Arabidopsis thaliana: one gene and its partners. The protein of the gene in region 3 interacts with the protein of the main gene of each other region in a pairwise test. Each region holds a gene or a part of one and is shown on either strand. Other genes may lie near its edges.

Region 1 (2,793 bases), on a different chromosome or scaffold from region 3:
TCACATGTTAGGAAGAAACCTCATTGAAAATCTGACAGTGTTAAGGTTTTCAAATCTAGTTTTTGAACCACTATGGAACAGAACATACATACGCAATATACAGGTAGTGTTTCCTTCTGATTGTTTGTAGTTGTGTATAGTGCCTGAACTTTCCTCTTCCACATTCTGGTTTGTTCACTTTGTGTATAAATGATGTTTCCAGGTTATTATATCAGAATCAATTGCGCAAACAGAAAAGTAAGGCACAATAGTTCTATTTTCACCATTTCTTTGCATGTGAGAGTAAATTGTGTTGTTTCAGCATTCTTAGACAAATCAGTAATGTTATTTTCTAATTTCCTACTGCTTTTTTTAAGGTTTTCTGATGGATATGGAATAATACGGGACATAGTGCACAGCCATATACTTCAGACAATCGCATTACTTGCCATGGAACCTCCGATAAGTCTCGATGGTGAAGATATCCGAAATGAAAAGGTCAACCTGTACTGTAAAGAACAAAATCGTCTTATGGTATATATGTAAGTTGTGTACTCTTGTTCTGTCAAGTGACTTGGTGACAAACCTGCTTCTGCAGGTGAAGGTTTTAAGATCAATTCGCAAGATAGACCCGCGTGATGTCATCCTTGGCCAGTATAAATCCAGTTCCCGAGACAAGAACGGTGTGATCTTGAACGGTGTAGACCCTACATATTGTGCAGCAGCCTTGTATATTGATAATGCACGTTGGGATGGTGTACCTTTCCTTGTAAGAGTTGGCACTGGCCTCATTAAACACAGGTAAGAATAATTATTCCTACTCATAGACATATCCAACTGTCATAACAATTGATTGGTGTGCCTTAATGTTGAAAGAGTGGAGATTCATGTGCAATTCCGGCATGTTCCTGGAAACCTATACCGAGAAAATATTGGAATAAACATAGATTTGGGGACAAATGAGCTTATTCTACGTGACGAACCTGATGAGGCCATCCTGGTGAAAATCAACAACAAGGTTCCTGGTTTAGGTCTTCAGCTAGACGCTTCTGAACTTAACTTGCTCTATAAAGACAGGCAAGTTTTGCATTCTCATCTTTGTTCCTACACATTTTAAAAATCGAACTTTTGCGCCTTATGGTTGGTTGAATTGTTGGATCAAACCTGTAGGTATAAAACCGAAGTACCAGACTCATATGAACACCTAATTCATGATGTAATTGACGGAGACAATCATCTGTTCATGAGAAGCGATGAGGTTGCAGCAGCATGGAACATTCTTAGTCCGGTTCTAGAAGAGATAGACAAGCATCACACAGCTCCGGAGTTGTATGAATTTGGTGGACGAGGACCAGTTGCGGCATACTATCTTTGGGCCAAGCACGGTGTCCCATGGGCAGATGACTGAAGAAGAAACATAGATGCAGCAACAAACAAATGAGAGTGATTCTGAATGGTTATTGTGAAGTGTGTTTGTTTAGCTTGAAGCTGTGCCATTCCCTGTAGACTGTACATATGTACACATGTATGTCATGTTGCTATATGAATGTCCATCATGGTGGGGTCCATAATAGTGTTGAAAAGTCTCCAAAGCCACCCAAAGGAAAGAAGAAAGTCTGAGAGACTTTTAGATAAGGTCATGTTGTTAGTCTTCCCACTAGAGGCAATAATTATATCTTCTCCACCAATTCCTCCAGAAAATTCTTCCAGATGTATCATGTGTTGATGATCAAAGTAGGATGAAAATGATGTAACTAAAGAGAAACATTTTCATAGGGGAAGGAAGAGAGAGCGGTTCAATGGACAGAGACAGAAAGAGGGTGAAAATGGAGAAGGAAGATGACGAAGAAGAAAAGATGGAGAAGTTGTACACAGTGCTTAAAAACGCAAGGGAAATGCGGAAATATGTCAACAGCTCCATGGAGAAGAAGAGACAGGAAGAAGAAGAAAGAGCAAGGGTTCGTAGATTCCCTTCGTTTCAGCCAGAAGATTTCATTTTCATGAATAAAGCAGAGGCCAACAACATTGAAAAAGCAGCTAATGAGAGCTCTTCAGCATCCAACGAGTATGATGGCTCTAAGGAAAAGCAAGAAGGATCTGAGACTAACGTTTGTTTAGACTTGAATCTTTCTCTGTAGCATACATACATACAAGAGACAAAGAGCTCTTCAGTTTCTGTATAAGCAACAAAGAATGTTAGTAACTACGTACCAAAAACAAATGTGTCATGGAATTCTAGTTTTGCTTGAAGATTGTTCATCACTTCTTATTAACCATATTGAAGAAAATGCTACAAATGCACATTGATAACAAGATCAGTAAAAAAATATATATATATTAGCAGAAGAACTTAGAGAGAACTCTCATCAATGGCTGAGCAAGTTCCTATGGTTTGCGAGAATTACTCCATTTTGCCAACGCTCCAACGAGGATTGATAGCTAAGCCTAAGATTAAAAAAAAACATTCTGCTTGGCATTTATTGAATCTCACCAGTAATCTTTACAGGAACACTCTCCGTTTCTGAAGTGATGGAATCTGTTTGCATCTCTTAGAATGATCTCCCTCTCTTTCACCTTAGAGATTATTTTTATTGCTGTGTGGCAATCACTACAAACTCTAAGGTTCTTCATGACTCGGATGGGTATTCCTTCAGATAGCTTTAAAAGAGCATAAGCTACCGCTAGTCTCTCGCTATGATATTTCAGGCTATTGACTTTCTCTTCCTCGTCTACATCGTGCAATGCATAGCTGCAATCAGGATTATACCCGGCTTCTCTCAATAACCCATCCAATTCATCCAGTATCTTCAAAAT
Region 2 (4,035 bases), on a different chromosome or scaffold from region 3:
ACAAGGCGTGTCACTAACGTTGGGAGTCCTAACTCGATATACTCAGTGAATGTCAAGGCTCCAGAGGGGATCAAAGTTATTGTCAATCCTAAGAGACTTGTGTTCAAACACGTGGATCAGACGCTGAGCTATAGAGTATGGTTTGTATTGAAGAAGAAAAACAGAGGAGGGAAGGTGGCTAGCTTTGCACAAGGGCAGTTGACTTGGGTCAACTCTCATAATCTGATGCAGCGAGTTAGAAGTCCAATCTCTGTAACCTTGAAGACTAACTGAGCCAATGAAGGAAAACGTTTTTCATTCTGTTTCAAGACTGTGTTAGGTTTATTAGGTTTTTATGCTAAGAAAACCTCGTGAAGCTGATTGATTGTTGTTATTGTACGCACAAGAGCTGTATTTCATTTTCCAGGGAATGAAACTACTGGTGATTCTATCATATTACTGTAGCTTGATTTCATCACTAAACCCTAATCCAGATGCATGCCTTTGTTGTTATAGTGGTATATTGGATCAGGCACCAATAGAGTGAAAAACCCTAAATATACAAAGATCTTTAAAGACAAGGTTAAGCTGTTGTTTGATATTCACAAACGACCACAAGACATATGTACACTCATGTATAAACATATGCACATGTATATATGTGAATGTGATATATGAGTTACAGACCAAAGAGATGTAAACTGTTTTTGCTATATAGGACTCTCTACTTACCTACTCCAGCTCCAATTGATGTCTTCATGATTCTCAGTCTTGTCACAGACCCGAGGAACATCCTGAGAAGATGAAAAGATCGTTTTCATTGAAATGGATGTGCCACATTACAAATACAGATGATGAATGGGAAGTTATAAGGGTAGTCACTTACTGCCAAGGAACATCTCCTACAAGCATCCAATCTCCGTCTTTATCTTGATATGTTATGATATATTCCGATGAGCCATCCAGTAATTTCGAAGTACATGTTTCCTTAATTGTCTTGTATCCTTGTGTGTTGGATCCTACAAATCGATCAATCAAAACCAGTCAATTTCAAGAGACACAGAATTTGAAAAACAGAATCACATGGAATCTCATGAAACAGAATTAGTAACTGACTTGTTACAGGAGAAGGAATCTGGAAAAACATTAGATCCAAAGTTTTCTCTAAGGCTGCATAAGAATCCAGAGCATTGAGATCAACCTTCCTTCCAATTATAACTCCGTCCATTGTCACCTTCACAAGCATAGAAGTCCTGGACGATTTGATAAAGCAAGCATCATCGTTCTTAGCAGCAACCACTACACTTTTTGTAGTCTCCTTTTGAATGCCAGAACTCAAGCCGCCTTCCGTAGCTAAAGACTTTGCTTGATTGACCAAACTGTTGATTCTGTAAGTCCGTAGAGGCGGCCAACCTACAGCAACTTGTCTGCTCCATTACCAAAAGATATTAAATCAAAAGACGAACAAGTATAAACCAATATGATTCAAAAGTTTAACTAAACATTTCAGGGAACACTCTATTTGATTCAATCCTGTGATTCATTCATTCTCAAAGTTTAAGGTCTAAAAGCTCTATCCTCTAAGTTGCTTTGATTCTGTAACAATAAGCAATCTGAGACCAATCATTCATATAGGTTATAATATAAAGTCTCGAAGATGAATTTTTTACCTGGTTGCGTTTGAGGCGGCAGCCGGAGAAGAATCAGCAGAGCGTTTGGTCCCACTTTCCCTGGTCAGAGAAGAAGACGAGGAAGACAAAGACGATCGAACCTTCCGACGACCAATGCTAAGACCCAAAGCTAGGTCGAGCTCTGTCTCTGACACTGACTCGTCGGGGCAAGATGAATCCTCCGACGAATGTGCGGCGTTTTCGTCTTCTTCAGCTGGTAGTCCGATCATCACCGACCCACTTGACGAACAAACTTCTTGCAAACCATTCATTATCCCAAATTGCCAAACGAATACACAAAGCAAGAACACTAAAACCCTTGATTCAAATCCAATTATCGATCAAGTTTGAAGAAACCCATTAACCAAGCAAACCAAAAAAAAGGTTTCAACTTTCAACACCTCTACGATTCTGAATTTCGAGACAGAAAAAAAAAAAAAACTTGAGGTCACGCACGGATCCACAGAACTGAAATTGAGAACTAAACGAGGTTTTAATCTTGATTCGAGGGCGACTTCGATTCTCGGATCAAAAACAAGGAATTTTTCTTAAAGAGAGAGAGAATGAAATTGGAGGAACGAAAAATCGGAAACGGTACACGAATGTGTGCGTTGCGTTTGGTGGAGGTTTGTTCGTCTATATAACTTTATTATTTTAATTAAATACATGATGGGACCCACTTGTATACACTTCTAACGACAAGTTTTACGTTAATCCTACGCTAATTGTGTAATTAATCTCTTGCGCAATCAAAGCTTCATCTTCCTTTACAAGTTACACAGTTAGGGCTCCGATGGTAATCTCACCACATCTGTTTCCCAACAGTGAGAATTTCAACATCTTTCATCGCCATACCAATTGTTCTTCTCCTTTGGTCCTGTAGGACCTTCCTCGCCGGATAATTCCACCGGAAGTTTTCTAAGCACTGTGGCAAGCGAAACCCTAACCGTCCTCGGAAATCGATTCACCAATCTCTCTATCTCCTCTCTTGAATCGTACACAACCTTTGGTCCCCATTCTCTCATGTACTGCAACCACGGCGGTTCTGCCAACACACTGTTTCCGCTGAGATACTCCGCTGCAATGATCTCGTACCGTGAGCTCGAATCTACCAAGAGTTCACTACGCGCAGTGTCATTTCTTATCCCAATCCCAAGCATTGTCGATCCCTGTAAGTAAGTCCCAGCCCTAGGAAAGCTTGCGTGACCATGTTTTGAAGAGTAAACAACGGCTTTGTTGCTTCCGGGAATGATTTCAAGGTCGTATGCTTCGATCCACTCGCCGCCACTGTGTTGAGACAAGTAGATTGAGTAAAGCTCACCAGAGAAATTGCTGATTCGGAGAGTGAAATGTTCCCAATCGCAGACGTGTTGGCCAATACTGATCAATGAGATATCGACGAGTCCTAGTTTTAAGGTTGCTGGTCCGTTAAATGGACAGAAGATCCAGAAGACAAGATCCGTGAACGTTCCTCCAAGAGCAGGCTTAATATGAATGTAAAGTTTCGAGCTTTCAAGGTTTCCTCGCTTGACGAAATCTCTTTGTTGATCATCACACGGCAAATCAATCCAAAACTGCTTGTCATTGCTTCCTCCTTGAGGCAAATTCGAACCATTTTCATCGATAGGTTCCTCGATTGGATTTCCCTTTTCGCAGAGAACTGCACCATTTTTGAAGAACCACGAAACAGAAGAAGGTAAGTAAGTTTCACCAGGATGGAAGACTAGTGTAGGACCATAGTGTTGAATCAAAGCTTGAATCTGATCAACATTTGGCATCGCATGTAAACTCAAATCTAGATTCTTTAGACAAGCAATACCGATACCAAGATCTTCTCTAGCAGCAACAAGCCGAGTTCTGCAGAAGAAAGTACCTGCAGAGACACCTTTGCCCCACATTCCTCGGTCTGAAGGCCGAGTTCTCCATATAAACAAAGGAACACCTAAAGATTCTGAAACAGCAGTGACAATGACATTGTGGGGTTCACATATATCAGTAAGATCAGCTCTAACACATCTAACTTCATTCAACTCAGGTTTCACGGAAGTCTTTGTAACCACAAAACCGATCGATCTATACCCTTCAGGAGGCTGCGGTAACCAGAAGTAACCGCATTCGCTCTTACTACTACATTCATTTTCTGCTGAATCATTTGAGCTCCAGACAAGAGTAAAATCAACAGGTTCCACTAATGCAGGTTTCTCTACCTGTTCTAATGAATCCACTAAATCTCTTGCCGCAAGTACATAACCTCTCAAAGGATGAGAATCAGACTGACAGTAGTGACCTAAGCAATGGAAGTCTTTAGGTAACAATCCCTTTGGTTTGTAAAATGAAATGTTCTTCTTCTTCTCTGTGGATCTGTATCTCCATATAAATTCAAAAT
Region 3 (3,823 bases):
AACCACGAGAAACGAAGAATTGAGCAGGAACCGTAAACGCTACGAAGATCTAAGACATACCCAGTTGAAATTGACGGCTGCTACGAGGGAAAATGCGAGAAAGACTGGAAATTTCGCAGAGGCTGACAGTGAGAATCGCGTGGACTTTGAAGGAGAGAAGCAAAGTCTACACCTTTACCCTTTATTCTTTGCTTGCTATAATCAAGGAATTACTTTTGTAAACACAGAGATCTCTTCTGTTCCGTCTGATCTTCCCCGATAAGAAAAGTCTTGTTTGAATCAAGGAGCTTCCGGTCAAAATCGATGAGAAGAAACGTTGCAGGATCACCGAAATTTCAAGAACCAGACTATTTTAGGGTTACCGGTTCGAGACGGTTTGATCCAATGGTCCCCTATCGGTTTGTTCCGGTTATAACTGATAACGATGAGTTAAATTGAAGTATTTCTTTTGTGTTTGAAGCTTACGATTATACTGCTCTGGATAGTGGATGGGCTTGTTATTAGTTTTAAAAGTTTTTGGTGGAACCTGAATTATCATCCGGACCGGCTCCGTTAACCCGAGTTCAAATTTGTTTCCTTTACTACGAAAGAGTAAATAGTGGGACAACTTCATTAACGAACGAACCATAATAGAATTCATGCTTAAAACTAACGGGACAACTTCAAATTTGTTTCTTTTGCTGTTTCTTTAGTTTTCTAAAGAGACTTGATTGAATGGCAATGATCACTAGTTAAACGACTTCTCTGTTTCGCTAGTAAAAACAGAGCTTTTATAGCGTTTTAGGTACAACAATCAATCAATCTCTCTCTCTTTCTATCACTCTCCGAAACAAATTAACGAGACCAAATATTCTTAAACCCTAAAACCCTAATCAAACAAGCAATAAGCTTAAATTAAGTAAAAAAGGAGCAAAAGAAACCGCAAATTAGAGGTACTTTCTAAACACTTTCGATGACATAAAACATAGGAATTTTTCTATACATTACCAAAAAGACAATACCATTTCTCAACGTGGTTCGTGGTCGTCTTCCCTCCGACCCGACCCGTTAGCTCCACCAGACAAAGAAGCAAGCAAATTGAGATGATGACCCGGAAGATAATTCCCAACTCTAGCTGCTGAAGCCTCACCCATTGCAGCTGCTGCGGCGGCGGAAGCTTGCTGTTGCTGCTGGTGGCGGACGAAGAGTGTAGCTGGTTGCTGCTGCTGCGCAAAAACCATTTCCGGTGGAGCTCCGGTTGCAAAGCTCCAGACTTGTCCGAAATCCGGCCTCGCCGGAACAGCCCAAAACCCACCAGAACCACCACCACCCATTAACGAAGTCCCCATTGTGTGTCCCACTGTTAACCCTCCTCCTCCTCCGCCGCCGGATTCTCCTTCCTCCGCTCTGACGACACGTTTCCCGAGAGTAAACGGAGAAGAAGTGGAGAGAGAAGCAGTGGAGAAACTCGCCGGAGTAGTGCCAGTTCCAGTGGCGGCTATGATAGAAGGCTCAGCTTGACGGAGAAGCCACTCTATGGTTTGACCATCGGACTTGTGACCTAACTCTCTGGTCAATTGAAAAACTCGAGCTGCGCAAATGATTGGCATACGAATCCTTCTTCCTCTTCCGTCAACTTTGCTGTGTCGATCTTTAGACGGTGGTTTCTTAACGGCGTTAAGAGGTCCTTTGTTTGACGTCTGCTCGACTATGATGCCGTTACTCACTGCTCCGTCGTTGTCGGCCATGGAATTAGGATTTCGTTATCACTATCTAACTCTCTCTCGAGGAGAAGAAGAAGAAGAAGAAGAAGAAGGAGGTAATGATTTGAGAGGAAGCTAGGCTGGTGGAGACAGGAAGGAGAGCACATGGCTGGTGGGGTCCCACACAGCTCACTTCTGCTAGGTTTTTTTAATTTGTCCGGACGCGGTTGAAGCTCACGCGCTTGACTCCGGTGTTGACTATAGCGTTGGACCACGGTCGGGCAGGAGAATTTAAGTTTTTAGGTTTAGGAGTTAGTTGGGGTCCCCATTTATATGGTTGCTTGAATTACATTAGCTAATTTACGAGTAATTAGGATTCGTAGAAAATAAGTAGCGTTACAAGAATAATATGAATTCGATTTTGGTTTTTACTAATTCTTATTACTTCTGTGACATGTAACCACAACAATGCTGATTTTTACCTTTATTTCTTATCGATAAAATTTGTTTTAGAATGAAGTAGTATATGTTTTATGCTTTGTAACCACAGTAATCATACACGTTTACCTCATGAGTTTAATGCATTTTATAGGATGTAGGGAAATTAGATTGCAATTAAGACAAAAGCTGTTTCCAGTTTCCACAATAGTTGAAAAGATGAGGAATAAGAGACAATCAATGGTGGTAATTGATTGGTGAGTATACTTTACACCTACACTGATTACGATTCTATTTTGTACGATTTTAATTTATTTATTTTTAGTCATTTATAATTTCACATCTACTAATTTGTGATTGTCTCTTATTTTTTATTTTTTATTTAACTTCTAGGATAAATAAATAGCTCAAATAAAAGAAATGACAATTACGCGCTTTATGACACAGGTTACTAATCTGAGTATAACCCAACCACTGTGACCCCCACACGATATGCGTTCGTGTGTGCAATTTGTATAATCAAAATTCTTATTACCCATTAAGCAATAATAAAACAAATCATTCCATTTGGAGCGTGGCATAATAAAAGTAGCCGTGCCCACCTGGCAGATATGCCGATTTTGATATGTCGTTGCGTCGAGATTTTTTAAATTGTTTCGCGACAATAATTTCTTTCATGATGAATATATAATGCACATTATACTATATTATCGTCTTAATATTTGTTATATGATTGTGAAATCCTTTAACAGAAATAATTGTTATGATGATTGCCGTACCCATACGATACAACCATGAGTGATGTTTAAATGCCTTTTTTTAAAAACTATACCCAAGCCAACTTCTTAAAGTTGTCGATATAATACGTGAAGGTGCTATCAAAAGCGATGAAAAGAATATTTTTGTGCATGCTTAAAGTATGATAGATAGTAAAAACTTGAAACTACGACGCACAGCTGAGGAACCACCAAACTAGAGACTCGTAGAGAAATTTTAGTCACATTTCGTAGCTACTTGCTAGGATTCAATTGAACTAGCTAGTTCTTAAAAGAAAACGTTGCCACAAAAGCTTACATACAAATTGTATGATACAATTGACAATTATTAATGACCGGCGCATGTTAAAAGTTATATTGAGTGATTAACTGGGATTTGAATGATTAGTTGTGGGGTTAGCTGGATAAATGCATAGAAATTTTTAATGATCACCAATTTACCAAAAATGCTTATAGTATATTCTAATCTTTTTATTTTATTTTAAAATAGTAATATGTGTACGAATCATTTGACAATTGTCAAATGTGTTAAACAGCTGGAGCCCATTCTCATCTGCCTTTATTTATTAATGGGAATTTGTATAGAATTATTAGTATGGGGGTTGGTGGACGAAAATACAAGAAAGTGACACTTCTGTCAAAAGAGAATCAACTCGTGTTTCATACAAATATCTTCTTTTCTAGTTTTCTCATTTGGCGATGCCTCTCTAGATTTTCTTAGCTTACTCCACCAATCAGAATAATCCACGTCATCTCGTTTTTTTAAACTGAGAGGATCGCTTTATCTTCTGCCATCTATTTGACTAGCGTGACTAAAAGACGTTCAGAGACCAACTCGCTTTGTAGTTTGTTGTATTTGGTATTTGTTTGATACTAAATTACTAATCATGTGAACTGTGAACGATTCTGACTTTGGTATAACTCAAA

The links. The genes of interacting proteins can lie anywhere in the genome.
Region 1: the proteins of TCP11 (region 3) and NIMIN-3 interact in binary tests that used the Arabidopsis thaliana proteins (3 or more experiments, as listed by UniProt).
Region 2: the proteins of TCP11 (region 3) and IAA10 interact in binary tests that used the Arabidopsis thaliana proteins (3 or more experiments, as listed by UniProt).

Annotation. Positions count from the first base shown.
Region 1 is NC_003070.9:3,037,234-3,040,026, reverse strand, and holds NIMIN-3 (NIM1-interacting 3), read left to right. Parts: upstream 1-1,618; 5' UTR 1,619-1,778; coding exon 1,779-2,117; 3' UTR 2,118-2,273; downstream 2,274-2,793. Other genes in the region: G6PD4 (glucose-6-phosphate dehydrogenase 4), read left to right, coding at 1-103, 203-237, 357-513, 584-780, 856-1,056, 1,150-1,387; AT1G09410 (pentatricopeptide (PPR) repeat-containing protein), read right to left, coding at 2,467-2,793.
Region 2 is NC_003070.9:1,057,695-1,061,729, reverse strand, and holds IAA10 (indoleacetic acid-induced protein 10), read right to left. Parts: upstream 2,261-4,035; 5' UTR 2,001-2,260; coding exon of another isoform or gene 1,922-2,000; coding exon 1,650-1,921; intron 1,448-1,649; coding exon of another isoform or gene 1,407-1,447; coding exon 1,096-1,406; intron 999-1,095; coding exon 866-998; intron 774-865; coding exon 704-773; 3' UTR 521-703; downstream 1-520. Other genes in the region: SDD1 (Subtilase family protein), read left to right, coding at 1-273; AT1G04090 (vacuolar sorting-associated protein (DUF946)), read right to left, coding at 2,483-4,035. UniProt on the Arabidopsis thaliana protein: Aux/IAA proteins are short-lived transcriptional factors that function as repressors of early auxin response genes at low auxin concentrations.
Region 3 is NC_003076.8:2,678,732-2,682,554, reverse strand, and holds TCP11 (TCP family transcription factor), read right to left. Parts: upstream 2,155-3,823; 5' UTR 1,728-2,154; coding exon 1,008-1,727; 3' UTR 562-1,007; downstream 1-561. UniProt on the Arabidopsis thaliana protein: Transcription factor involved in the regulation of the circadian clock. Acts as a repressor of CCA1 by binding to its promoter. No binding to the LHY promoter.